Linked DNA regions of Danio rerio. The protein of the gene in region 1 interacts with the protein of each later gene in a pairwise test. Links are inferred from orthologs where the notes say so. Each region holds a gene or a part of one and is shown on either strand. Other genes may lie near its edges. The genes, in order: atxn1a, nudt21, anp32a, lrsam1, nlk2, prrc2b and tox4a.

Region 1 (3,500 bases):
ACTGCACTAAAACAAAAGACTGGTCGATTTCCTCACCCATTGTGTTTGTATGCATCAAGATACATCCATGCATATATATTCATAGACAAGAACCCATTCTGTGTCTACATACAAAAAAATGACCCCTGATTGCAAGGTTGACACATTCATCACAAAAAAAGGGAGGGAAACATAAGAAAAATCTACCCATCAGGTATGATAGGAGGGTTTGAAAAGTAAGACATGCAAAACTACAAAAATAGTCAAATAAAAGGTTAGACAGTTGGATATATAAAAATAGATTCGTCCATCTTCCCTGTTTAAAGTGATAGTTTCGTCTTTTCTGAGGAGCAAACTGGCACCGCTCAATGACATCATCTCTCTTGGCCTGTACCATAGTATTTGGAAACTTCTTTTTGCACTTCAATAAACGTTAACAGAATCTTTGCTAGTCTAACTGTGCTGACCATACTGCTCTATATTGTTAGGATCGATTTGGATAGTCTCTTGTAGTCACAGTTAAACAAGATGGCTGACATCATGTAAACTCCTGCAACCAGTGGAGGAGTGATTTCCGTTCTGCCACCACATTCACACCACTTGTTCATCTTCCCTTACTAACATTTTTAGGTTCAGCAAGCGAATGTTTTAATTGCCACTAAGTGTCGTTTGTAAGCCAAAAGAATTTTGTAGGTGAGAGACTAGAGAGACGTCTTGTCAGCTGTGAGTAATTTTATATGCCGGAGCCTTCAGGATAACATGCCGTCTCACAACCTTCTCACCTTGCTCTACATCCACCTTGAATTTGACCAATCAATTGAATTGCACCAATTGCCTGTGTAAAATTGAATTCCTCAATTACAATGTTAGATGTGATAACATAGATACTGAGTAAATTTTGCCTTTAGGAAAAGAAATCTGGACAACAGAACAATTAAAAACATTCTGAGGGCAAATTTTGCAATTTTAAAAGCAGACAGTCCGACGCATGTTCACTTTCCAATATTTGATCTGCCTTCGATACTGATTTTAACCTCCTGAGGGATGAAAGAAGGCTTAGGGAACGTTAAAGGGGGCTCTCCTTCTGGATTTTCTACTTTACGACCCTCAGGGGCAGACCACCTTCTTTTTCGACCTGTGGGTTTACTGCTGGTCTCTGATTCTGTGAGTGTTGGAGCTTTGCAGTTGTCCCTTTCACCAAACCTCAGTTCTCCGTTTTCTCTATTGCCTTGACCGCCTCTACTTCCTTGATCTGCACACTGCCCGAGTCCATTTTCCTGTTCTGTGTGCCGAACACCCCCTCGTGCGCCACTTGAGAGTGCTTTTGGTGATTTAAGAGGTGGACCGAGTGCAGGTGCATCCAAGACTTGCCCCTGGCTCTTCTTGATGGAACCGTTCCTCAGGTTCTTCAGGGTGAGGGAGATGCAGACGTCACCCACTGAAAGCTTGGTGCATGGCAGCTCGAGCAGCTGAGTAGTCCGATCCGGACAACAAGATGACCAGCCCTGGCCGAACACAAAGAAAGGATACTCTACTAGTACCTCCACACTGACCTGCAAAAGAAAAAGGGAGTCAAAAAGAGAGGACAATGACTTCCGAAAGTAGAAGTCGTGCACAAATGCCTGATGATATGAATGAATGTCTTTGCTAAAAAGCATCTGTTAATCAGTGCCTCTCGAAATGACAGACTTTAGAACTGCTTTCGAGTGGGTGGCCCCATCTCAACTCCCAGACAAATGAAGCAGATTTTTCATACAGCCCACTCACAGTACAACAGAAGGAAGCAGAAATAAGGAATGACTCAATTCTGCCAGTGAATCCCACACAAACTAAACAAAGATGCCATGGGGACAGCCAGGGGAGGGATTATGGAACAGGGAGATGATTTCAGCTGCCAATTTGCCCCACATCTACTTACACTGATTGAGTGCAGGTGGAGTTCATATAAGGGGACATTCACACTCTCACAGCATATAAAAATATAAACTTAATGACTACCATATGCTTATTCAAAGCGAGATGATGAAGTTGCACGGAAGATGTAAAGTAAAAAAAAAAAGATCCCTGGGCAATTGCAAATGCTGTAAAGATTTTTAACTGACAATTGTTAAACATGAAATTAAATTACCCATCTTTGGAATCCATCTGCATATTATGAAACCGTCATAATATTTGGCCAATTTGCCAAGATATTTCAACTGTAATCACACCTCATAAAATGGCATGATTCAAATAACTGCAATTTGGATTCTAATGTAAATGATATACTTCAAATATGCACTGTATATAATTAAAGGTGCAGTAGGTGATCTGCCAAAACGATAACCCCTTAGCATATTATATTGGGACGGCGGGGAGGGACTGTGATTCAAAGCTACACCCCCTGAAATCGCGAGCGCGCGCACCGCGTTACAACAGCAGACAGACAACCCACTAGTTCATGTAATTCGCCAGTTAGTCAGTGCCAGTGCTGTGCGGGAATTACATTTATTACTTAGCCACACTTACATGCTATTTCAGACAGATTATTCAGAGTAGCATGGTAAACAGTATAGGAAGGCTGTCATTGTTCAAAAATGACCCAATGTGAATATAAAAGCAACTTCAGCTCAATAAAGTAGGCTAGGCAAAATAGCGCTATTTACTGATGTTTTCTTGTTAAACTAAACATAAATCTACATCAGTGGTCACCAAACTTGTTCCTGGAGGGCCGGTGTCCTGCAGATTTTTGTTCCAATCCTAATCAAACACACCTGAACAAGCTAATCAAGGTCTTACTTGGTATACTTGAAACATCCAGGCTGGTGCGTTGAGGCAAGTTGGAGCAAAACCCTGCAGGGACACCGGCCCTCCAGGACCGAGATTGGTGACCCCTGATCTACATCATCGATGCTGTAAAAGGACCTTATGAAACTGAAAATAATCACATCAATCTTTCACCGGGAGATTTCAGGGTCTGAACAACACGTCTGTGCATATAAGTCATTCATAGCAGAACACAATCTAACATAAGCTTAGCCTGACTAAAATAGTTTTAAAACAGAACATTACATGTCTAACAGTAATACTTCAGCCATGATGTCGTCCTTCCACCAGCCTGCTAAAGTAACTCCAATATTGATTCAGGTTTTTAAAAGTTTCAATTAAGCATTTGATTTCTACCGGTCCGTCTCGTGACCGCGCGGCCGCTTATGCAGACGGGCACGTCCTAATGGCGGATCTGCGTGAACAGATGCGCAGAAGTCCGAATCTACATTTGCTGACAGACAGTCTGACCTGCTTATCGGAATTATGGGAGATGTCGGTCTGACTCTATTTAATTGGATGAACATTTTTTAGTTTTATGCCTTAACCAGAATATAAAAATACATATAAACACATTTAGATTATTTACTGTAATCATTACTATTGGACTGTAAAGAGACTTTCAACCAGTACAACAAAAAGTGTTTCTGAAGACAATCACCTACTGCACCTTTAATAACAAACAGTTATGGAATGTTCATATAAACATTAAAAAA
Region 2 (4,094 bases), on another chromosome or scaffold:
ATTCATCACATCCACAACACACAATCTATAGCTTACAGTTTGAAGAAGGTTGTCCCCAGCTGAAGTAGCAGAACATGAGGGAGTCTGTGCTCGTGCACGATCAGAACACCCTCCACAGTCCGCCGCATCCCGATTTTCTCAAATTCTTCCCGCATCCGCTGAAAGCGTGCGGCTACCGAGCTGTCCTTCTCATAGAGCGGCTCCTTGGTGCCGAATGTGTAATTTGTAAGAGGGTATCTTTGGAAAAACAAACATGTTATTTCATTTAAATTGAGGTGTGATAAAGCTTTAATAATCCACACACTGCAAAACAAAACATAGCATCATAACAAAATAATGAGGGAAAAAAGATGGCAAGCACTGTATGTGGCCGCTAGTAGTAGGGCTGCACAATATATCGTTTCAGCATTGATATCGCAATGTGAACATTCGCAATAGTCAAATCACGAGTATATGCAATGTTGAGTCTGGGTTATAATTTACAATATTTCAAGTGTTTTTGAGGCCTGTGATTGTGTGAGGGTTTTAACAGCATGTGTACAGCTTTTAACTAAAAAATAATAATGATGAATTTGCTTGTTTTATTTTACAATTAATCATTTACTGTACACCTAAATGCAGTTTGACTCCTCAAAAACAATAAAACACTGTTTATGTAATTTGTATTTTTCTTTATTGAATTTTTCTATGCTTGTTTCTTATTTTTTTATGCATGCACTCTTCTACAAAATCATCCCAATCAATCTAAAATTTCTAATTCTTTCCAAATAGGCTTGTAAAATTGTATTTATATTGCAATTTATGTCACAGAACAAAAACATATCCCAATGTTAGATTTTTCAAATACAGTGCAGCCCTAGCCGCTAGTCATGTAAATTTCCATAAAGCTTCAAAACCTTTAAGAATCTTGTTTTCAAATAAGTGGTTGCATATCAAGGGGTCACAAAAAGTCACAATTTATGTAATGGAGGATGCATTTCATCATAATTATTTCAAAAAGTTATTAAAATCCAATGGTTCATGTATCTGTGCGTCTGAATTATGCCAGATTCCCAACTGTATTTATCAAAGCTTGTGATTGGTTTGTTACTGTATATTATTGCAAAATCACTCCCTTAATAAATCACCTAAATTATGAATTCTTTTTGAATAGACCTACTCATTTCATCTAGTAAAATTATCGCAATGTACATCGCAGAGGATTAAAATATCACTTGGTAATTTCTCCCTAATATTGTGCTGCTCTAATTTTGACCAGAAGGCATTACCAATCTGTGGTATTTTGAATGTTTAAAGGTTTTGTGAAGTGCTTTGAAATGGGCATTTATATTCCATGTTTGAGGTAATCTCAACTGAAACATAATGAAATGGTGGCAGTTCCTCCCCTTTAGAAAATAAAAACAGAGAATAGCGTTTTGTTTTTATCACAAACAATCTCTGCCAATGAGAGTGTTTGAGCTTAAGGCATCAAATGAATAGCAAATGAGAACCATCTTGGCAGGGGGTGGGGTTTATGCTCACATACTAGAGAGCATTTGATTGGTCAAGATTTGGTGAGTAAGTAAAACATGAAGTGACCTATGAATAATCATAGATTAGGCGGAAGTGACAAACTGCGGGCTTTAGATGTGTATATATCTTATAACGCAAATTGAGTCACTGTTTGAGCACACTAGCTTATAGATATCCTCAAAACTAACATCTAAAAAGCTTTATTTTTACTTTTTATTTTATTTCACAGGTCCTACCTTTAAAAGAGCAATCATTTATTAATTTTATACAAAGTGTAATTTGGATCTTGTGCTCGCCTATTATGGGCGTTTCATTCCATTGTGTTTTCATACAGCTTTTTGTACAAATTAAAAATAATACTCCCAAATAAGGGTTTCAATATCAAATTTGAATTTACATTAAAGATCATTCATATTAATATTTGATTAACATTGGCATAAGGTTAGCGTTATTAACAAAATCAACAATTATAATAACAATTCTACCGTCACTCAATATAATCAATGATTGGGATTTGTTTACGTAACTTGCTCAAGAATTCGACTGTTTGATTTCTAAGTCATACTTAACGTTACACCAAAATAATAACAAATAACACCATAAACCACAAATAATCAAATAACATTTCAATAACATTGCGCCTGTCGACTAATGTTAGTGATATTTTCGAATAAATGTGCAAAGAGCCCTAGGATAAATCACCGAGAACAATGCTAACTGCAACATATGGAATACAAAACTAATAAGAACTATATCGAACTCTTATATTTCAATATCCCTGCATATGTACACACTGCCATAAATGTGCATGCATTTTGCCACATAAAAAACAAAACTCTGAATATTTCACTGTATTGTTACGCATGCAAACAAGAGCTGGCAGCAAGAAGCTACGGTAGTCTGCCATGGTCAAACGCTAACAATGCTAACGTACTGACATGAAAGGCACAATGCAGCAGCACTAGGATTTACAACCATTAAAGCTTGTTTAAGTAATCGCATATATCGTTTGTAGTGTTGAATTTTAAGTTCAAGTTACTCACAGGTTGATTGTTCTCTCCAGGGTGAGGGGTTTAGTCGCCTGGGTAATGTATTTATTGCCGAACTGATTTACTCCTCGAGGCCAACCGGTAGATGATCGATTAGGAGGTACAACTGACATCGTATGACGGATTATTAAATCACTTCCTAATATTTGCACTAATCGCGTTTTTTTCCACGTTGATTACTTTATTACTGTGATTGAATTGCACAGCCTTGGCGCTCGATGAAAACTGGAATACGGCGCTCTGCTGTGAAAGCACATCCGGGACATTGGGTTACTTCCTGTGTTACGACCGTGTGTTTCGGCTCTTCAGATTTTTCTCATCTGATCTATGAGCAAGAGTTGTTTTCCACATTATAAGTAGTGGGTTTGAACAGTCCAGACACGATTCAAACCCTTACCCTTCAAACAGAGGGTTTGTGGTTGTTTATTACACTTTTCTGCCTGCTACAAGGCGTGTTTTGGTGTCTGTTAACCTGACATCACAAACACAAGAATACCACAGAAATGTCCAAACTAGATTATTAAACCATGTATTAATCAGAAAAAGACAGTAACAATTAAACCACTTATATAGCCTGTAATAGTTATTTAGGGAATTTTACCATTTAATGTTTGCAAGATTGCTTTGTGTATACGTAGCCTAATTTTTGCTTTAATGTAAACAGAACAGTTTTTTTAATACTTTATACGGACCTTTGGTGTTTTTAAAACATCATCAGTCGGTGCTATTCCCACATATCAAAAAATATCTGGCCCACATAATCAGCTTTTGCTTGGCCCACTTGCGGCAGTAAATTATGGTATATGAGTGGACCAATTCTGGCTTTTAGACAAGGACCAAACATGGACAATATCTGGGCCAAGTCTCAGACAAGTTAATAACCCATAACTGAGCCTAAACTTCACCAGATATGTTTTTGTATCCCGTCTGCAATGAAATTGATATACTCAGGGATCATTGCGCTTTAGGCATGCTATGGGCTTGCTTTTTCTCGAAGCGATGATTGGTACTTGGTAGAATTTTTTTCTTTATTTGAAAATAATAAAAATGTATTTTAAATGTGGGTCAAGATAAGCCTAACGTTCATGGCTCATATATCAATTGTTAACATCTGGCCCGAGTAGGCCTATTGTGTGCCGTCTTAAAGACGGTGCCACCTCTGCCAAACCAGGGCCATGTTTGGCCTACATGCTGTATGCCAGTGCCAGACAAATGCCTGCCCTGCCAGATATATGCCATATCTGGGTCAGAATTCTTTTCTACCTGTGTTGGAGGCACAACAAGTTAGCCTACACTGAATCACTTGCATATTTTGCTAAACATGTGATCAATTATTGCCATTCTTTAAGCCAGGAATGTCAAACTCAGTTCCTGGAGGGCCGCAACCTTGCACAGTTTAGCTTCAACCCTGCTTCGATATACTTACCTGAAACCTGAAGGACTCAATTAGTTTAATCAGGTTTGTTTAATTAGGGTTAAGCTAAACTGTGCAGAGCTGTGGTCCATCAGGAACTGAGTTTGACACCTGTGCTT
Region 3 (4,248 bases), on another chromosome or scaffold:
AGGAAAGAGGACAGTGAAAAAAACAAACACTGATAAGCATTTGACAACCAACAACAAAATTTTGAGGTTTGTAGTCGGTATTGGTAATACTTCCACACATCAATATTAATAATAAATGTTTATCAGCACATGACTCCGTTAGCACTAGTATGAACGCAGCTTACCAGGGGTTCGATGGTGCTGAGGTCTTTAATTTTGTTGCCACTGAGGTTGAGATGGGTGAGGTTGGGACATTTCCCTGCCAGTACCTCCAGACCCCCTGAGATTCTGTTATCGCTGAGCTCGAGCTGCGGAGAACATGATTCAGTAGCAAATTAATAAGACCTAGCAAAACTTTACACCGCTGGCACTTGTGAAAAAAATTAACAAGAAGCTGCTCGTTACCTTTTTGAGTTTGTTAAGCTTCGGCAAATTGGTGACTGATGTTAAGCCTACATTGATTGTGCTTAAAAATTCCAGTTCCTCAAACTCATCAGTGAGGCCCTCGATTTTGCCCTCATTTGACCGACAGTTGTCGAGCACAAGCTCTTTCACCTGTTCAAGGGCACATGAGAAGAAAAGGATATTAAAATGTTATGATTAATTAATAAAGCATTTGTTAGTCTGTACCTGCAACTTCAAAACAATTAGATGAACGAGGTGGTTAAATCAGCTGTTTGTAACTTCTTCAGTTTGCTTCTAATGTTATTGTTTACCACCAAAAAGCTAACCATATTAAAACTCACATAAAAAGGCACATTTTCATTTACTGTCTACATAATAATCAGCAATTACAGTGTCCTCTAAGTATGTTTTAGTCGATTATTTTATTGATTCCCACGTAGGAAATGTCATTTAAAATACACATTAGTGTAAAAGAAATTTCGTTTAAATGGTTTATAATTCTCAGAAATTACTTTTATATGGCATACAACACATTCATCCTCGAAGATAATTGGCTAAAGATAGAAAAAAACTGAGCACAATAAACACGCCACGACCGAGTCGGGCGCCATTCAGTTGTTAAGTTTACTTCAGCATGCGGTCTACAGTAACAGATAGGGGTGCGTGTTTGGGTGCTTTGACAAAACCTCACATTTGACTCTCCATCCAACAAAATGGCTGACTCCGCAACAAGCGGCGTACATTGTTTTCTCATTGGGAGAACATTTTACTATAGTGCGTGCTGGAACAGCAAAGCGAAGACGCGTAAACGATAGCCTGGGTGTTACACAAATGCATTACATTGTCTTGGAAGAGCGAAGACACGAGGACGGACCCAAGAATTCACGAGTAGGAGGGGCAGAGAGGCGCATGATAATGCAACGGACTCGCTCTTTAAGCGAAAGGTATTGACTTTCACGGAATAAAAATTAAATGTCCCGGCTTTAAACGGGCTCGGCTCTCGGTATTCAGCGCCTCTGCTCGGTTCAAAGCACGGAGACGAAGGCGGCGACGATTCTCTGCTCGATTAAATATCGTGCGTCTTTGTTGCTGGTTAAAATGGCGGCTTGTCCTAGATCTTGCAACTAGAGCAGCGCAGCTTCAAGTTGCGTAGCGCTCACATAAGCGCCCAGTCTGTCAATAACAAGCCGAGCCACACGGCTAAAAATCTCTTTATCCAGCCAGTGGAGACGCACAGAAGTGGCCAGAACACGGTTATGACATTTTAATTACGAGTTCTATTACAGCGTATTGGGGTATGCGTAATGGGGCAATGACGGGGTCCCTGATTATTGTTGCTCTGAATTCATCAGAGAACGTGGTTACACTTCAGATATCGTAAGATAAACACGGAGGACACAAGTGAAAGAGGGAATACCGATTTGGGTTTTGCATTCTGGCAATGTCGTCGACATATGCAGTTTTAAATAGGCTTGGGAACCTTTACGCAACAAGATACACTCTGACACGATTCTTTCTATAGCCAACAACAAATGTGTTCATATGTTTTTACAGTCATAACCAAACCAAATACGCGATGATTAGCAACGTGCCGAAAGCCCACGGAAAGATCCCGCCTAAGTATTTACACAACTTTCTTTGATTGAGAAACGAAAATGTTTTCCATTCCGGCTCAAATCCGTCAATAAAAGCCGTTTGCTGGAGAGATGCCACCAAATTTAGTTGACCGATCGGGTTATCGCGAGCTATCTGTCAAATCGTCTGCACAGCAATCCACAAAATGCGTCCCACAACAAGTTACCGAACTGGCCAACGACCACTGTGACTGGCAAGTATGAATGTTGAATTGAAAATGGATGTGCGAAAGTGTGAGAGAGGCATGAACTGACGGCGGGCGACTTTTGCAGCACTGAGGATGCAAAGGAAAAGGGCGCGTTCAGGGGCTACAAAGTTACAAATATGGCTTCTCACGCCGCTTCCCTTGTTTATACACTGAATGCATGCAGCTCTTGCAGTCTCAGACCACAGCATCACCAAAAGGTCTCGCGAAAGTTGGGGAAATTCGTCGGGAAAACTGGTAAACTTATGGGCCGCGTGAAGGTAGACTGAGATAACAACATCCAAGGCTCTAGGCTCGCAACAAAGTCGCCGCAAACTTTTCATTCAAGACATCAACTTGACGCGTGCACATCTAGTGTTGTCCATCCACGCAGAACTACTCTAACCAACAGTTTTAATAAAATCATATCACTCAGCAATTAATAAAGATGCTTACGTCTGACGGCGTCCGGTTCCGCAACTCCAGGTGAATTCTCTTTTTCATATCCATCTCTGTGAACTCTAAATGAGTGATTTAAACCAAAGAGCGCAGTTAGACTTGGAGTCTTTGCTGCACATTCAGCTATAGCCTCTTAACAAACTAGCTATTGCGAGTCTCACAAACATGATGCCTCAGAAGGTGGGAGTTGGGTGTGGGATTGTCGTCACCAGCGACCAATTAGAAACGCGCAACGGAATGTGAAAACACTCACAACTGAGCTGACGGCCAATCAGCGGCCGATTACAAACTGGGTGGGGTTACAGGAACAGTTAGGTTGATCCTGCGAATCTGTTTTAGGGTGACATCTATGCGATAAAATCAACCGAACTGGCGAAGGCGCCAGATACTAAATAGAGGTTATGGTAGTTGCTTTAGTTTTGAGTGGGGTTATGTACGCTAAGTTGAAGATAAACGAGTTATTTGTCTACCAAGGCGCTTTGAAATTAATAAAATTAAACGCAATGAAGCCCGCAAGGATCGTGTGAACGAGGGTGGTAAACATAAATATTTAGTCAGAGTGCTGCTTTCTGTTTTGAAGCATATAATTTCCTATCAGGTAAGTGCAGTCAGTCACTTTGGACTGATGGATGGTAGACCGTCAGGAAAACACGACCCCTCCCCCTTTTGGAGGGAATGCACGGTGGCGACCACTGACACTATCTGCGCTAAAATCTTCAATACTTATATTCTAGTTTACAGTGAACACAAAGTACGACACTGCGTGTAAGCATGAGTGTGATTGAAGCAGTGGCCGTTTTTGTCCCCGCTTAGATAAATGCTGATATGTAAACAACATGATGGTTTTAACATATGGATCATAATTAGTGAAAGCGAACAAAGTGACTGTTGCATAACAGTATGAGACGTACAGATTGTAACATCCCGACATCTCTAACGCTGTAAGTGGTGATATGACATGAATCGACGTAGTTTAATTATTACATCCGAGCCCAGCTATACGGCAGAGCCCATAAGTTACCAGTCTTATTAAAAACAAGTTTGTCACATGCACTTGACTGCCACATCGCACACTCCAACCACGAGCCCACGCTTTTTCCTACAGTTCAAACCGGCCAATCGTATTTCAGGGGGAGCATTCACTTCCGCTTCTCGCTTTGACTATTGTTGGTATTGAGGGGGAAAAAAACAAGGTCACCTGACTGTTCCCGGCGCCATCTTAATTCGCAAAATACAACACATTCAAATAATTATAATACCATTTATTGACTTTTAAAACGAACAAAAAGCAGCAGACTTTACCTATATTTGATGTCATGTCTGTGTGTCGCTCCGCTACCCCTTAGAAACAACTGTAGAGCAACTGCTTGGCGCATGATTGTTTTCACAAGTGCACCGGCTGGGTTGTTTGTTGAGAGAGCGCATTTCACTGGCGAATTTGTCGTTTTACAACGTTATTTCGAAATCACTTCACACCAGGACATTTTGCCCTTGAAGACAACAGAAAAAAAAATCTTCTTCTCTCGATCTGGCCACTGACTCCAACCCGCGCAAGCGGGCTGCTCTCAAGCCCTTTTGATTGTACT
Region 4 (4,270 bases), on another chromosome or scaffold:
CAACACAAAACTTAATCAAACATACCTTTCTTTTCTCATAGTCCATAAATTTGTTCTACAGTAAGAGAGAGAATACAAGATAACATCACAAATGTATGGCATTGATAGAACAATGGCACAGAAAGAAATGTGAGCACTGTTTAACAATAATGAGATTTAGACTGACCTGCCAGACTATCTCCTCACCATCAACACAGTCCATCTCCTGCTTCCCTCCATCATGCTCCAGCACAGGCAGGAGATACTGAGATGGAGGACAATACTCCAGACCCATATCTGTATAACATCAAAAATAAATGCTGAAATACAGATAATGCACAGAATGGCTGCCATATGGGATTGCAACCAAATCTGCATAATCTGTATAGCATGCACTCTGTATTTATTGGTCTGAATCTAGACAGACAGTAACGAATAAATATTAAAATACAGTGGTTGCCAGCAATTTCAACTCATATCTCCCCACTGTTTTGGGGGCTCCTGGATGGGAACCACTGCTGCAAACTGGTCTGTAAAATACAGTTGCTTTGTTGCAGAGACTGTGAAAACAGAGGTGTACCTGAGCAGAGGTAGCGCTGCACTTCCTCTGTGCCGCCTGTACACACTGACGCAGGTGGAAAGCTCATAACCTGTGCGTCCAGGATCAGGCTCTGAAACCACACATATACAAATATGAGAATGAGATCCCAGATATGAGTGGACACAGAGTTTATGAGCTTGATGTGATATTACACAAATATGTGTCTTGTTTTGATTTACTGAAATTGACATATAAGGTACTCACTTCCAGAGTGCGAACACTGGCCAGTTCTTTGGGTAATTCTCTGATGCTGTTCTCACTTATGTCGAGTGTCCGCAGGCTGCTCATGCGACCCACAGACACAGGCAACACAGTAAGGCAGTTCCCTGTATGCGTCAAAACATTGTCATTCGTTTAATCTTTTTTATTTCCACTTCATTTTTAAAATTGTGCCTAAAACCTAAAGTAAATTAAGACAAAAGTCATATGACGGTCACATTTTCAATGTTCTGAAAGACTTTTCAAACTTGAAACCGGCAAGCCCGAGTCATTCTAAAAAAGCATCATTGATTGTATCAAAGCAGCACATCAGCAGTTTACATAAAGGCATTAGCACATTTGATGGCATACAGTTTATAAAAGGTAAAAACTAAACTCTAAATGTTGCATTTTCTCTTAGTATTTTAGTTTTTTCCCCAAATGCTAGTTTTTTAAGCAACTAACAATAACAATGTATCACTACTTGCATGGTTTTAATGTTTAGTATCACAATGCAGGGTTTATAGTTCAGGGTAAAAAGCAGTACTAACCCCTCTTCTCAGTTTCCTGTAGGCAACATTTATTAACCCACTGATAACAATGTTTTGAACAAGAATAATCCAGGGTTAAGCACACAGAAATTAAGTTAACATGAAAAATGTTTAACAACTAAATGGAATATATTCCAGGAAGACAAAGTGATGAAAACAATTAAAAAATGAATATTATATGAACAAAAATAGATATTTTTAAAAACAAACCTTTTACATTAAGTGTCTGTAGATGCAGAAGACCTCCTATAGTGTCTGGCAGCTGTTTGATCTGGTTTTTCTCTGCATTTAGCACCTTAGAGAAAAAAACATGTTTTATGAAAGCAACAAATATAAAGTACTCTAGTTATTACAAAACATACACAGCAATTCAGTTGATATTGTTGGATTATTAACAATGAGGTTGATAACATTGTAATATTTATGAACAAATAAATCTTCTGCTTACCAAGGCTGCATTCAATTAATGCAATAAAAGTATTAATAAAATATGTATTTTTTTAATTTTCTTTTGATAATTTAAAAAAATTATGTTGTATCCCAATTTTTCAGAAATCATCCAGATATGGTGAGTTGGTGCACAGTAAAAAACTGCTGTTAACTTATCTATAAATATATATATATATATATATATATATATATATATATATATATATATATATATATATATATATATATATATATATATATATATATATATATTATTCTATTAGCATATTATTCTGTTTTTAGATTGTACAATTCAGAACTTTGATCTTATAAAATAGATATACCTGCAAGGACGAAAGCTGTCCGATCTCATCTGGAAGTGATGTGAGCTTATTTTCATGTAGATCCAAGACCTTTAGAATGAACAAAGAGATGTTATAACTAGACAATATAGCGAGACAGTTATTTATTTTTCATTGGTGACATCAGTCAGTTTCTCTCACCTTTAATGTTGCTAAGGCACCAAGACAGCAGCCTTTAGGTACGAGTGACCTCAGGTCATTTGTATGAAGAATTAACACCTACAGTTAAAGAAAAAACTGCTTTCAAAATTGTATTCGCTCCGACCACCAACAGTTCAGAGAAAGAAATATACAGACTCACTTTCTTCTGAAGCACTTTACACATAGAGAAGGCACAGGAGGGAACCTGAAGAAGCAGATATTTCATCATTTCATCATTTGTCCACAATGAAAATAGGGATTGTCACTAAGGTGTCTGAAGTGTACCTCTGAAAGCTCACAGGCAGAAATGTCCAGAATGTCATCAGCACCTGCTTCTTTGGCCTGCACAAAACATAGGCATGTGTTTTAGGATCTGCACTGTGGACGTTGCTTTAAAAAGAGGCTCTGCTCACACTTATAATCTCTATCAGTAACAAATGTGGGTGCGTTGCAAAGCAACAGACACTCACCAAACACAGCTGGTACTCGAGACGTTTCCTGGAATCGCCACTGGGTTTTTTCTTTTTGAACAAAAACATCGTGAGGCTTAGCGAGATTTTATTTGTCTAGTTAAAACCCCACAACATCCACTGGACGGTTCAGTGTGAAACCTGACTGAATGTGATGTTGACAATCTCCAAGAACGCCCTGAACTAATAGAAGTAGGACAAAAAAACACAAAAACAAACGCGTAAACTGACAAATAATAATTATTCAATATCCATAACCCTTCACAAATGTCCCGCTTTCATCAGTCTAAAGACTGGCTACGACAATTGCGCAACATTACCTTTATAAACAAGTGGACGTAACGTTACCTGCTGAACGATGGATATTCGCAAATAACCGTTAGTCCTATAGCTGATATATGTTATGAAAACATAGGTTCTCTGAGATGTTTCTTAATCAATTTACTGTCCTGTGATACCTAGCATACTCCCTCTCGGACAGTACACCACAAACACCAGGAACAACTTCTCGGATGTTGTGAATGACGTAATGCGTCGCCGCAGTGTGAAAGGTTGCCAAGTTCTCGCGATACTTCGTCGCCTTTATATTCTCAGCTTGCGCTCTCTTCGGCCTTTTCCTTTTTCACTTTTGTGGTGAAGGTGCAACAGTTTTCGGTCGTCCCGAATCCGGGTTCATCCGACACCCTCACCAATTCCAATTGAAGTGAACTCAACTTCATCTGATACACCATGCCTCCTAAATTCGACCCCAACGAGATTAAAGTTGGTATGTGTGAGGAATACTGTAACGTTTCGACGGGTTTTTGAGCGTGACCAAGCGGCCATGTTTGTGCTCTGGGCTCCAGAGCGCCGGGACTATAATAAACGATGAATGGGTAAAACTACTGAGCTTTATCTAACCGAACAATTTTAAACTTAATGTCTAATCGGATTGAATGTTATGTGTCTTTAGAAGTGCCAGCTGCGGCTTATTTTAACGATTCATCGTAAGCTTTGAAACGTGATTAATGTGCTCTAGTTCAGCAGTTTGCTGCACACGTGATCATCATGGAACTCGTGTCTTTAGCTTAATAGTGCAGAATAGTCTGTAGAATTGTCAAATACGTTATGTAGTTTTAACGTGCCTTTTATTTTAAACGTGCAATAGTAAGTTACAAATAATAGAAATTGCAGTACAACTGCTGCATATAAAGTTTATCATTTTATAAAGATCAACATTAGCGTTTATTCAAAAATGCATATAAAATATACCATTAAAAAGTTAGCGCTATTATTTAATGTACATTATTCGCCTTTAAGCTGAAAGTAACCAGGTGAATTTTATTGACTTGTCTTGATCAAATGGACAATCGAAGTTGCCCGTTACTTAAATTATAGCTTTGGTGACTAAGTACAATGTAGAACTCCAGCTAGTGTTCTTTTAACAACTTTGGGGGGGGGGGGGGAATTTCTGCAAACAATGGTATATTTATAATGCCATACTTTGTCTCTCTATAGGCCAGTTTGCCCATTTTCTTTTCGGTTGTAGCATAATTATTA
Region 5 (4,028 bases), on another chromosome or scaffold:
CACAATACAAATAAAACAGATTTTAATACGAATTTCAACAAATAAAAACCCTTTATGTGTCTTTGTAAAGCTTTTCATGGTAATGTTTACTTTCTCATTTAGGGAAACTCCTGAGATAAATAAATAAGTTATATCTCTGAACTTTAATAAAAAGGCTGCGCTTCCCACCTCAAGTCTCAATCACTATTGGGACTTCTAGAGCTAGTTTGGTGCTCAAGTCTGTATTGGTGCATCCTCGATACCAAGAACGCATCCGGGAACCTTTCCACATCCTCCGTTCTTGCGGTCTTGAGTTTTGGAACTGATCTATGGCAGTTAATTATGACATCGCTGAAGAACACATATTGAGAGACAGCCAGAGCTTGATTAGCAGGTTGAGGTGTGTTCAGTTGGGGTTGAAACTAAAATATGCAGGACACCGGCCCTCCAGAATCAAGTCTGGACCCAATGGCCTAGAGCACCACCTGATGTTAATGCCGAAGTTCTGAATCAATTCAATAGAGAATACCAAACTGAATAGACTTATTGCTACAGCTCTTATAAATGCACTTTGCTTGTTCGACTCTGTAGCAACATTTTAAGTCCTTTAGGAATTAAAGAAATGAATGAATCTAGTGACTTCTTGAACAAGACTCATCGACATGACATCATCTGCCATTTATCATGCAGACTTCAACTACTTTCCACTGAAAGCTTTTGCAACAATTAGTGGCATGGGTGTCATAATTACTCTGTTTTATAGATTACAACTTGTAGAAGCTGTTCACATTCTAGTACAACTCAAAATACAAGAGTTTCTGAGCAACTGCTTGTACCATGTGACCAGTAAATCACCTAACTGTGACATATTGATTAAGATTCTAAGTAAAGACGTTAACAATAAGTCCATACAAAAGACTAATTGCAAGTCAGCCGACATGAACAGCTGGTGTTGTCATCTCAAAATAACAGTAAGGTGTGAACTTATGCCACAGCTAGTCATGTGACAAACATGGCGGCACCCATGAGGGGTGTACCAGCTCTGTGTGACATAATAACAAAACTTTTTTCTATTCTGCGTATGTATTTTTAATAATCATATCTTGCACAACATTATAATAAACTTTTAAAATGCACATATTAATAGATCATAAAAACTTGTTGTTTAGATTTACATAAACATTAGGCTAATGTTCAAGAGCCCTTTTGAAGTCGTCAGAAGAAGCATTATTTAGAGCATTCTCTGTTAACACAGAAGTTGTTCCACTCACCAAACCACGCCGAAAGCTCCGTATCCGATCGGTCTGTCCGGCTCTATATCCAGCTGTTGTTGTAAGTGATGCGAGTGTTGGTGGTGGTGATGGTGCACCTTTACAGCGGCCGCGGCGGCGGCTTGCACCTGTGCTGGGGCTGCAGCGGCCGCCGGCCCCGGAGCTTGTCCAGGAGCGGGCGAGGGGAAGTACGGCTGCTGCTGGCTCGGGTTCAGCATCACCGCCGCCGCCGCCGCAGCAGCAGCGGCCGCGGCCGTAGAAGCGTGCTGCTGTACGGGGTGCACGGCGGCGGCCGAGCCGGGGTGCTGGAGGTGATGCTGGCCAGCGTGGTGATGGTGGTGGAGGTGGGCGGGTGGCGGGAGATGTGGCAGCTGGTGGTGATGGTGCGGGTGATGCGCTGCCACTGCCGCGGTGCCGCCGTTGTACGCAGCCATCATTTTCGCGGCATTGGAAGCCGTGGTTCCGCACAGAGCCATTCACTCACTCAACAGCCCGAAATGAGAGGTGGAAAAACAAAACAAAGAGGCGAACGAGATGGAGTGGGAGGCTGCCAAGATGTCAAACTCTCATTTGGCCGTCATAGAGCCAAACGACGGGTAAAATCAAAGCATAAATGTCCGGCATACATCAAGACGAGAGTGAAAAGGTGTCATACTAACAACTCTTCAGCTTTGATCTGACCTACTTCGGAGAATCTTTACGCGTTGTACGTTTCAGACTAGCAAAATGACAAGCGCGGACATCCAAGAACCCTCAAGCGGAGGGTAAACAAAAGAAAAGTAAAAAAGGAGAGAGGGATTAAATCAAAAGAATGCGCTCCCCCCATAATAAATCAATTCCGCACGGCCTTAAATCTCCCTCATGTCGGAGGCATGAGGAGCACCTTGCTTCGGCTCGAAACTCGGGCTTGCGCGGAAAGAAGGGAAATTAGGCGAACAGTACAAGTTACGGGGGATATGCAACATTCATCTTTTGGATTTCTTCATATTTGCCATTTTGGGCTCTTCCAGCCCTGTTTCCACCGCCAGGGCTGCATGCAGTTTGCAGAAGTTACGCGGATCTCAATCAGGCCACCGCTGCTGCTGACTTGGTACTTGCTCGCCAGCTTACTTGTTTACATGTACATTAAAACGCGCAATTCTCCCGCACGAAAAGACTGCTACACTGGATCGATCCGGGAAGCTTGTTTTGCAGTATGGCGCTCTGTTGCCGCTTTCTGTTGCGCTCGAGCCCTCCTAAGCTGTAGATGGATAGCTGCTCCAGATCCTCTCCAAATGTCAAAATCCTCTCGAAACACCCATCACGCTGATCAACACAGCAATCCGTTTCCCTGGAACAAGGAAAACATTCTTCCGAAGCCCTTCAACTTATTTTCCCCATCGATAGCGATGCGCTCGTTCACCGGCGTGCCGCGTTCCTGCTCTCGAAATCGTGGGCATGTATACATCCAGTGAAGAAGAAATCAAAAGAAAAACATCCAGTGTTCCTTGCAGCCAGAAAACAGGCGGCCAGCGTCCTCACCCCCTCGCCGGATGGTGCTGCCAGGACCTGGGAAGGCACACGCGCAACCCTGCCGTCTTGGGTACCCGTCTATTCCTTGTCCGTTGACAGCTCTCTGCACCAATCACCTCGCGGCTCTGAAGCAGCACAGCCAATCAGCGGACGAGAGGAAGAGACGCAGGTCCAGCCATAATAAACTGGCCCTTGTTGCATGTGGAAGCAAGCGCCATTACGGCTACAGCATACTGTAAAAGACAGTGCGAGTCTACGGAGCCGTTGAGCCGAAATGGAGAGCGAGGGGGCCCACGTACCCAGAGATATTACGCGAGACATGCCATCCAATTAGCACCTGCCGTTGAAGTGAGTCTCTCGTCTGAAAGGAGACACATGATTCGCTGTCCAATCGTTTTTCAAATCGAAGGCAAAATGCAGAACAAGGACGGTCAAACATTATACAATATTTATTAAATATAATACAGTTCGCGAAGTTTATAGTAGTTTTCACTCTACATTAACATACGCTTAATTTGAGTGATGCATAATATTTATAATAAATATGTCGGTATATTTAGTAAAACTACATTTCTAAACTTAATAATTAGTATAGATATTACAGAAACACTTACCACTTGACACTTATCATCTACCACTTTTACTTATATGTTAGTTTTGTTGTTTTTGTTTATTAATTATGATGTCCAAGTTTATAAATAAATAAAAATACAGATCATTACTTTCAGTTTCTGTTTGTTTCAATTGGTACTTATGTGTTATTCATTGTATTACTTGTAATTACTTTATAATTATTTATGAAACTTACTTGCACGTATGATATAAATAAAGCTTTATTTGAGTAATGTGTAGTATTCTAAAAATATATGTCGGTATATTTAGTAACAATACATTTTTAAACTTAATTATTAGTATAAATATTACAGAAACACCACGTGGCACTTATCATCTATCACTTGTAGGTATATGTTCATTTTTGTTTATTTGTTTTAATGTCCAGGTTTATAAATAAATAAAAATAATGATCATTTTACTTTCAGTTTTTGTTTGTTTCAAGTCTTAATTATATGGGTAATTCAGGTCCGTATAGTTCGAAAGATACACCCCTCACTGACAAAGGTCCAAGTTTTGTCCCATATATTAACTGGTCTTATTTTAACTGCTCTATATTATTTAATTAGGGGTTGCCACAACGGAATGAACCACCTATTATTATTATTATTATTATTATTATTATTATTATTATTATTATTATCATGTTTTAAT
Region 6 (3,500 bases), on another chromosome or scaffold:
TTCCCCTATAGCGCATGTGTTTGGACTGTAACCGGAGCACCCGGAGGAAATCCACACCAACACGGGGAGAACATGCAAACTCCACACAGAAACACACACTGACCCAGCCGAGACTCAAACCAGAGACCTTCTTGCTATGAGGCCACAGTGCTGACCACTGAGCCACTGTGACGCCTTGTTGATTTGTAATATGTAATTCAATCCAGAGTTCAGCAAGCAGATTTGGAGATTTCAGGAGTTGCCCGTTCATTTATAAAGGATTTTGGGTGGGCATGTGCTCCCCGAGGGCGTTACAAATATGGCCGCCGAGTGAACAGACTTTTTTGAAAGGGACTTTGATTAAATCCCTCCTCCTTCTTCAGCTCAATTTCATGTAGAATCATGTGACGTGATCAGTTTTTCTTGTCATGCGATGATTAAACAGTAAGAGTTGAGGATGAACATGCATGTGCATCAGTGTACTGCATCTGTGCAGCTCTTAAAGGGACAGTGCGCTATATTCCTGCTGTCAGCTGAGCTTATTATTAATAAACGAATAATAAAAGACAAACTCACTCTCTGCTCTCGACAGAAAGGTCATCTTTAATACATACAGTGACCATATTTATATACTTCGTAATATGTGTATATTTGAATACTGTTGTGTTGTTTGTTAGTGCCGTTCTGCTTTGCTATTGAGAATTGTGAAGTGTCATGATCTTTAAGACGTACAGGTGTAATGGCAGCCTTATTTACAGAGAGAAACTAAGATATAAACTGCACTGCAGCTCTAAGTGTGAACTGAAGGACAGATTGAGGTGTGTGTGTGTGTGTGTGTGTGTGTGTGTGTGTGTGTGTGTTTACAGCAGGTGCATCTGTAGGTCACACTGATTGTGTCGTGCAGATCTGCATATATTAAAGGCTTGTGTGCAAAAGGAGAGATGCTCATGTGACGGTGTCGGTCCTGTGTGTTTGGAGATTATGAGGATGTTATTACAGCTGCAGTTATCATACAGATAAAGTGGATCTGTTTCAATGTCACAGCAAATATTCAGTCTTAAATGCTATGATTTAAAGGGGCAGCGCACCCAAAATATTCATAATATTATACTCGGGTGACATTTTCCAGCAGTGTGTGCTTTAGCTGCAGATGCTAACCTCAAAGCAGACTCTGCATGGCGTATCTAATACAATATTATGCTCTTCATCATGTTATGGTTTTAAAAAGTGCTGAAATATTGACTGAAATCTCACAGTAACCGAGTCAACACATCATTAATCTACTAAAATACACATAGCTGGTGTCTTTAAGTTCATATTTTCCAAACAAAACTCTACCTAAATACTCATACAAACACTATTATTATTATTATTATTATTAATATTTGAGAACTTGCATTATTATTGCATTATCTATTTAAGTTTGTTTATAAAAAGAATAGGTTAATATTGGAGATGCTAAACATAGCTGCACTTTTAGAAACACTCGTACTCTTTATTTTACTTTGTTCTCTAAATACCCAGCTCTATTTCTGGATGTGAGCTGATGCATTTATTGATATGCATTGAATCTGTCATCTGATTGGCTGATCAGAGTGTGTGTGTGTGTGTTTCCTCCTGCAGTTCCGTTGCATCATCAGCACAGCTGCCGGAGCCGCAGCCGCCGCTGGCTTTACAGAAATCTGTGTCCAATCTTCAGAAGCCCATGCCAATAACCAGCCCGGAGGTACGGCGTGTGTGTTGTACATGAGTAAAGGTCATAATCACGTGTGTGAGTGTGGTGTATGAGTAAAGGTTATAATCACGAGTGTGTGTGTTTTCTGTTCCTGCAGAGCACAAGTACAGGTGGACCAAAGCAATGGGCACAGCTCAATGGAAAGGCAGTCGATCAAGATGGTAATGATTTTCAGCTCTCTCTGCGGATAATATGCAGATATTCAATGATTCAGCATGTCAAGACTGTGCATGTGTGTTATATTAATATTAGAGCATGACCAATTTTATTTCAGATACCGATATCAGACTAAATAAGTACCGATATCGATGTATATCGGCCGATATTCTTCATATGCAGAGTACAGTATCAGTCAAAAGGACACATACCTATTCATGTGTCTAAACTTGACTAGTACTATAAACAAAATACAGTATAACCATGAATATATATTGATATATGAACATTTTTGCTATGATTTTTAATATATATTTTAAAGTAATTTTTTAGCTCGGCTCAATATTGTGATGATAAAGTAAATCATGAGAAACACTTTATTTTGATGGCATTATTATTACTATTCACAGCTCTTAGTTTTACACATACACAGTACAATATGCATTGAAATGCTTATACTGTAAAAAATCATATTTAAAGCAACACCTTGGAGTATAATTTGTAATGCTAATAATATATAATAAATATAAATGCTATTTGATCTGTGGTGTTTGTGTTATCTGTTGAACTGAACATGTTGTAATGTAATTGTTTCTGTTTGGATCATCTCTTACTGAATTCTGAAGTTATTATTATGTCACGTTTTCACCATTATTTTTACATGAAATATGCATAAGTTGCTGAATGCCAATAAATAAACAAAACTCAAATGTGTGTGATTGTGTTTCAGGTTTAAAGGTCTCAAGCCGACTGCAGCCCTTCTCTCACGAGGATTTTCCGACGCTGAAGGCAGCAGGAGAACAGGACAAAGTTGGCAAGGAAAGAAGCGTCTTCGATCCGTCGTATGGGCCCGGACCAAGCCTCCGCCCGCAGAGTGAGTCCAGCTCTACACACCGACGTTACGATTAAAGACCCAAAAATGAAGATTCGGTCATTAATTACTCGTTCCACACCCTGAGAGCTTCGTTCAGTCAAAGCACAAATGCAAATTATCATGATGATAGTAAATCTTTCATACCGGGGATGCCCAAAGATTTTCATATGAAGGGCAAAAAACCAAATATCATTGAGAGCCGTGGGGTGAAGATGAATATACCAAACTATTTTACAATAAAGTTGCTGTGGGTAATTTCCCTTATTTATTTCAGAATATTTCAAAATAAATAGAAATTATTTAATTATAACTTATTGCAATAAAACATTGAACACTGAATACACTAGTCAAGCAGAGTCTGCCTTTGCCTTGATTTGCTCACTAAAGTCTCTGCACTGTCCTCTATCTGTCGGGTGACAGTATGCACATTATAAACTAAATTACAGCATTTAAATTTAAACATTTCATTTCAATTCGCTTTTTTTTGTGGCTTTACAATAAAACAAGCAGACTAAAGGTTGTCATTTTAAATTTGAAATGACACCATCTAAACCATCTCCATCACTCTCTTCTCAGATGGGATGGTGGGCCAAATCAAAGGTTACCATGAGCCTACCACGCATCACAGACATGTGATTAATTGCATTCAATTTATGCATTGGTTGTTTATCTAAATTTGACCAATCAGATCTTGTTAACTTTAACCCCGCCTTCAAAGTAGTTTCTGTTCTGCTATTGGCTGGAGCTGAACCCAGA
Region 7 (4,095 bases), on another chromosome or scaffold:
GCTATTCAAGCCATCTGGTTAAAATGTATTCAAATCGCAATAAATATCGCAGGAAAAAAATATCACAATGTCAGATCTTTTCAATATCATGCAGCCCTATCTAGCATTTTATAATCCATTAGAAACAAGTGCTGGATTTCCTTTAGCAAACACGATGCAGACACTGCTGCCACTGCTAGAAAGAGAAAAGCTTACCACACCCAGAGTTGAGCTCAGCAGTGCACTTCCGCCCTGCTGGTTCATCACACCCAAAGTCAGGTGCTCCATACCCTGAGATGAGGGATTCATGAAGGTGGAGGCAAAAGATGGATCATTTCCCCCAACTACAGTATTACTGGCAAGAACACTTCCAACTCCAGCACCCCTTGAGCTCTCAGCCTGTTCGGCCAGCTCTCCAAAATGTGCCTCCACATCCTCTATGGTGAGAGCAGAGTCTGGATCCAAGGAGATTGGGATTTCGAACTCTTCATCACCCAGACAGGGTGTATAGAATGTTTTCTGAAATGAAAAATAAAGACATAAGAGCAATTCCAGCGCTATGGATGCGACATTTGCAGTAAAATCTCAGAACATAAATTCACAGAGAAATTATATATTAACTTTGTTAAAACATCTGTTTATATTTTCCAAAACAACTCACCACAGAGTTATGGGATCAGAAAAATATCAATCTGTAAACATTTGTTTATTTTATATGAGGAAAATAAACATACGTGATGGATGTGACCAAAAAAGTTTACAGTATGCAACGTACTTTGTACAAGTTCTGTGAATTAAATTGGACAATCTAAAAGAAATAATGATGATCAAAAGAATACATGTTTGCTCTCTATAGAACAAAAATGACTGATTTTATTTTATATTTTCACATTTATAAGGAAAAATCTTTGTTATGGATGTGACATCTCTTGCCACTTGTGTGACTTTGGTAAATCAAATATAATTGTTTGAAAATATTGACAGAGACATCTTTGAGTATTTTTGCAGTCCTGTTGAATACAAGCCTAGACAAACAAAACCTAGAAAGAGTTTCGCTATGTTGGTGAAAACCTAATTTTTTTATGGCAAGGTAGAAAGTTGCATAAAAATTTTCAGAAATAAAATATAAAAACATGTATATAAAAAAATACACAAGATGTCCCATTCTAGTGCCTGCATCAAACTTAATTTATTAAAGATATCAAAACATATTACACTTAAATGTCTACTTTAATATTAGGAAGATCTTTCTGAAAATTAAATCTGAGAATATGAGTGAAATAATGTCTCAAAATCATCACATTGATTTCATAAAAATTAAACAACATACTTTTTCAAATTTGTGCCAATTAAAAATATATATAAAATGATGAGAGATAATCATTTTTTAACATTGCAAACTTTTTTTTATTTTGGGTAAAAAACTAAAAAGTTTAAAGGAGAGACAGTAATTATAAATGCATGTTGGGGCTGCTGTGTGATCATTATTAGACTTTTAATATTTTACCAAGTTATAAATATAAGTCTTGTTATAAATATTCCTGACAAGCATTTATTTTAACACAAACTATTGATGTGCTAACGTTTTATATGGTGTATTTTATAAAACAAGGTAAAAAGATTTATAGTCATCTTTTGATCACAAAATTTAAATAAATCCAGAGACACTTTAGTCACTAATGGAAACAAATTAAGATATATAACATTATATTGCATGCTTTGACGCTGTAAAGCTTAAAATAATACATTTAGTCAATTTAAGCTAGCTCAGAAAACAGTCCAAAAAGAAGCACTACCTCAAGAAAATGATGACCAGGTCCACTGGTGGTCAGGTATGAATCACTGCCACCTGCAAACTAATAAACGGATGTTAAAAGGTGCAATAACCACATGCAAACGCGTTTTATTATATAGTTACGTTGAACTGAATATATATATATATATATATATATATATATATATATATATATATATATATATATATGTATATGTATATATATATATATATATATATATATATATATATATATATATATATATATATATATATGTATGTATATATATATATATATATATATATATATATATATATATATATATATATATATATATACACACAAAGCAGCCAGACTTACCTTGTTTACTGAATCATATCCATTGTAGGACGAGTTGTCCATAAACTCGGAATCAACATGTTGACCGGTCCCGTCAGAGAGTTCCGTGTAAAAATTCAGATCCATGAGGATACTATAAATACTAGATAAATATATAAATAATGTCTGTTGGGTTTCTTGATATGAGGAACGAGTGGGCTGCTAATATTCCAAAAGCAACAGACTAAAGCAACCAAAAATACAAATAATGAATGGGAAATAATGCTAGTCAGCAAAAGAAAAGAGCCAAGCAACACAGCATCTTGTATTGTTCGGCATAAGGTTTGTGCTGCTCGACTGAATAACGTCAATAAACTTCATTAGACGATCCACAGAGCAGCGTTAATACAACCAGAGCCGTTAAAAGCGTTTATGATGAGTGGTAGGTGAAGGCTTACCAATTTAGCCACTAACAAATTGAGCTAACGTTAACTGGCTAATTCGTGCTAGTTCGCAGAAGCGCTGCTGTTAAACCCCAACATGAGGTTTCATTCATAACACAGGCCTCGAGGGCAGAGAATTCGCCTGTTCGCTGAATGTAAAATCCAACATTCCATTAAATAACACTATAAACTGTACACTTTTAATATATATTCAGATTGAACAAACAAAGTTTGCCTAGAGAGTCTCACTAGCATGGATAGCTTCTGCCAGTGCTAAAATGGACCGATTCGATCGGTACTCTGCTATGTTTGTCTGTTTGCAACTTGCAAGTCTTATTAATCGCATTCCGGTCATAAGTTCATTTGTGTCCAAATCCTGAAAACCTTCTCCTGGCAGTATTTAACACGACCCGCGCGGTTCCTGTAATGTGGAGCATTTTTTTCTCTTTTAACTCCCCACACTTTATGTAATTCATTCAATGGTCACGGCCACCATCACTTTTTTACTTTACTACTGTGATCATCACAACTCACAAGGCTGGCGTTACTTTTCTCAGCGAACTTCAAGCAGGACCAGTCACAGTCAGTGTTGTCAACCATCTTTAAGAGGTTGGTTAGTTATTTAATTGTAAAAAAAAACGTTTTAAACAACAGCAATTATGGCCTTATGCGTTGTTGAATTTGAAACGAATAAATTCATGTAGTTTCTCAATCTCCCCAAGCCATTACAACATAATATCTTGTTTTGTTTTAATTATGTCTATTTAATTTTGTCTATTTCATAAATTTACATTTTTGTTTGTGTTATCTGGATATTTTTAATTTCATTAAGATGTTAACTGATGTCTATATTTGCAAACAATATAAATAAAAAACAGGCATCGTAATTTTTCTATTATTAAACATACAAAAAGTAAGACTTAGCAGCATACTATACACACAAAGTACAGGCATTGTCATTTCTTTTATGGGCGGATCTCAGGTCTAGTCTTGGTTTGCTGCAGTTTGGTCAGAGTCAGTTGTTAGTCTGCCAGATGAAGCTGTGCTTCTGCCCTTTCAGTCTCTTTTTGCTATTGTTGAAAGTGATTTAAATATCAGTGATTGTCATTCTTTGCATTTTTTTTATTATTCTGTAATCATTGCATGCATCACTAATAAATATTCTAAAACAAAAATATTTTCCATTGTGATGAATATACAATATGATCATATTGACAGAATAAAATGTATTGTTTTTGGTCAGTTTTGACAGCTGTTTGGGGGATTTTTTTATGAGGCCAAACTCTTTCTACTTTGCTGTAGGCCTATACTGTAAGACTGAATACGTTAAAGCCTACCTAATGACTGTAGCATGACGGATGAACAAATACAATTAAAACCTTATGAATAAATAGGATACCTTGTTACATACTGCATAATCCAAATATAGTATTATTTGATACATTTTACATTACATTTTGGGCATGAAATCCACCTTTCTGATGGGATCAGTTTAATCCAGATTTTTTGGATCAAAGTGATCTTATCCAATTATGTAATCCATTTTTTCTTTTGAAAAACCCATGTTAAAGATTTGATCC

The links.
Region 2: the proteins of atxn1a (region 1) and nudt21 interact in binary tests that used the Homo sapiens proteins (3 or more experiments, as listed by UniProt). The link is inferred for Danio rerio from reciprocal best matches to the Homo sapiens genes ATXN1 and NUDT21.
Region 3: the proteins of atxn1a (region 1) and anp32a interact in binary tests that used the Homo sapiens proteins (3 or more experiments, as listed by UniProt). The link is inferred for Danio rerio from reciprocal best matches to the Homo sapiens genes ATXN1 and ANP32A.
Region 4: the proteins of atxn1a (region 1) and lrsam1 interact in binary tests that used the Homo sapiens proteins (3 or more experiments, as listed by UniProt). The link is inferred for Danio rerio from reciprocal best matches to the Homo sapiens genes ATXN1 and LRSAM1.
Region 5: the proteins of atxn1a (region 1) and nlk2 interact in binary tests that used the Homo sapiens proteins (3 or more experiments, as listed by UniProt). The link is inferred for Danio rerio from reciprocal best matches to the Homo sapiens genes ATXN1 and NLK.
Region 6: the proteins of atxn1a (region 1) and prrc2b interact in binary tests that used the Homo sapiens proteins (3 or more experiments, as listed by UniProt). The link is inferred for Danio rerio from reciprocal best matches to the Homo sapiens genes ATXN1 and PRRC2B.
Region 7: the proteins of atxn1a (region 1) and tox4a interact in binary tests that used the Homo sapiens proteins (3 or more experiments, as listed by UniProt). The link is inferred for Danio rerio from reciprocal best matches to the Homo sapiens genes ATXN1 and TOX4.

Annotation. Positions count from the first base shown.
Region 1 is NC_133194.1:34,920,948-34,924,447, reverse strand, and holds part of atxn1a (ataxin-1a), read right to left. Parts: intron 1,533-3,500; coding exon 972-1,532; 3' UTR 1-971. UniProt on the Homo sapiens protein: Chromatin-binding factor that repress Notch signaling in the absence of Notch intracellular domain by acting as a CBF1 corepressor. Binds to the HEY promoter and might assist, along with NCOR2, RBPJ-mediated repression. Binds RNA in vitro.
Region 2 is NC_133193.1:24,124,155-24,128,248, forward strand, and holds the start of nudt21 (cleavage and polyadenylation specificity factor subunit 5), read right to left. Parts: upstream 2,801-4,094; 5' UTR 2,675-2,800; coding exon 2,556-2,674; intron 238-2,555; coding exon 37-237; intron 1-36. UniProt on the Homo sapiens protein: Component of the cleavage factor Im (CFIm) complex that functions as an activator of the pre-mRNA 3'-end cleavage and polyadenylation processing required for the maturation of pre-mRNA into functional mRNAs.
Region 3 is NC_133182.1:33,399,583-33,403,830, forward strand, and holds the start of anp32a (acidic leucine-rich nuclear phosphoprotein 32 family member A), read right to left. Parts: upstream 2,801-4,248; 5' UTR 2,725-2,800; coding exon of another isoform or gene 2,714-2,724; coding exon 2,660-2,713; intron 535-2,659; coding exon 385-534; intron 288-384; coding exon 165-287; intron 1-164. UniProt on the Homo sapiens protein: Multifunctional protein that is involved in the regulation of many processes including tumor suppression, apoptosis, cell cycle progression or transcription. Promotes apoptosis by favouring the activation of caspase-9/CASP9 and allowing apoptosome formation.
Region 4 is NC_133180.1:33,499,860-33,504,129, forward strand, and holds the start of lrsam1 (E3 ubiquitin-protein ligase LRSAM1), read right to left. Parts: upstream 2,801-4,270; coding exon 2,732-2,800; intron 2,604-2,731; coding exon 2,547-2,603; intron 2,467-2,546; coding exon 2,422-2,466; intron 2,340-2,421; coding exon 2,262-2,339; intron 2,172-2,261; coding exon 2,103-2,171; intron 1,625-2,102; coding exon 1,540-1,624; intron 907-1,539; coding exon 785-906; intron 651-784; coding exon 560-650; intron 277-559; coding exon 167-276; intron 56-166; coding exon 26-55; intron 1-25. Other genes in the region: rpl12 (large ribosomal subunit protein uL11), read left to right, coding at 3,461-3,497.
Region 5 is NC_133190.1:32,750,437-32,754,464, reverse strand, and holds the start of nlk2 (serine/threonine-protein kinase NLK), read right to left. Parts: upstream 2,801-4,028; 5' UTR 1,847-2,800; coding exon of another isoform or gene 1,785-1,846; 5' UTR 1,727-1,784; coding exon 1,589-1,726; coding exon of another isoform or gene 1,346-1,588; coding exon 1,251-1,345; intron 1-1,250. UniProt on the Homo sapiens protein: Serine/threonine-protein kinase that regulates a number of transcription factors with key roles in cell fate determination. Positive effector of the non-canonical Wnt signaling pathway, acting downstream of WNT5A, MAP3K7/TAK1 and HIPK2.
Region 6 is NC_133180.1:78,417,723-78,421,222, reverse strand, and holds part of prrc2b (protein PRRC2B), read left to right. Parts: intron 1-1,602; coding exon 1,603-1,705; intron 1,706-1,811; coding exon 1,812-1,875; intron 1,876-2,600; coding exon 2,601-2,744; intron 2,745-3,500.
Region 7 is NC_133177.1:41,101,838-41,105,932, forward strand, and holds the start of tox4a (TOX high mobility group box family member 4-B), read right to left. Parts: upstream 2,801-4,095; 5' UTR 2,220-2,800; coding exon 2,115-2,219; intron 1,836-2,114; coding exon 1,776-1,835; intron 499-1,775; coding exon 196-498; intron 1-195. UniProt on the Homo sapiens protein: Transcription factor that modulates cell fate reprogramming from the somatic state to the pluripotent and neuronal fate. In liver, controls the expression of hormone-regulated gluconeogenic genes such as G6PC1 and PCK1.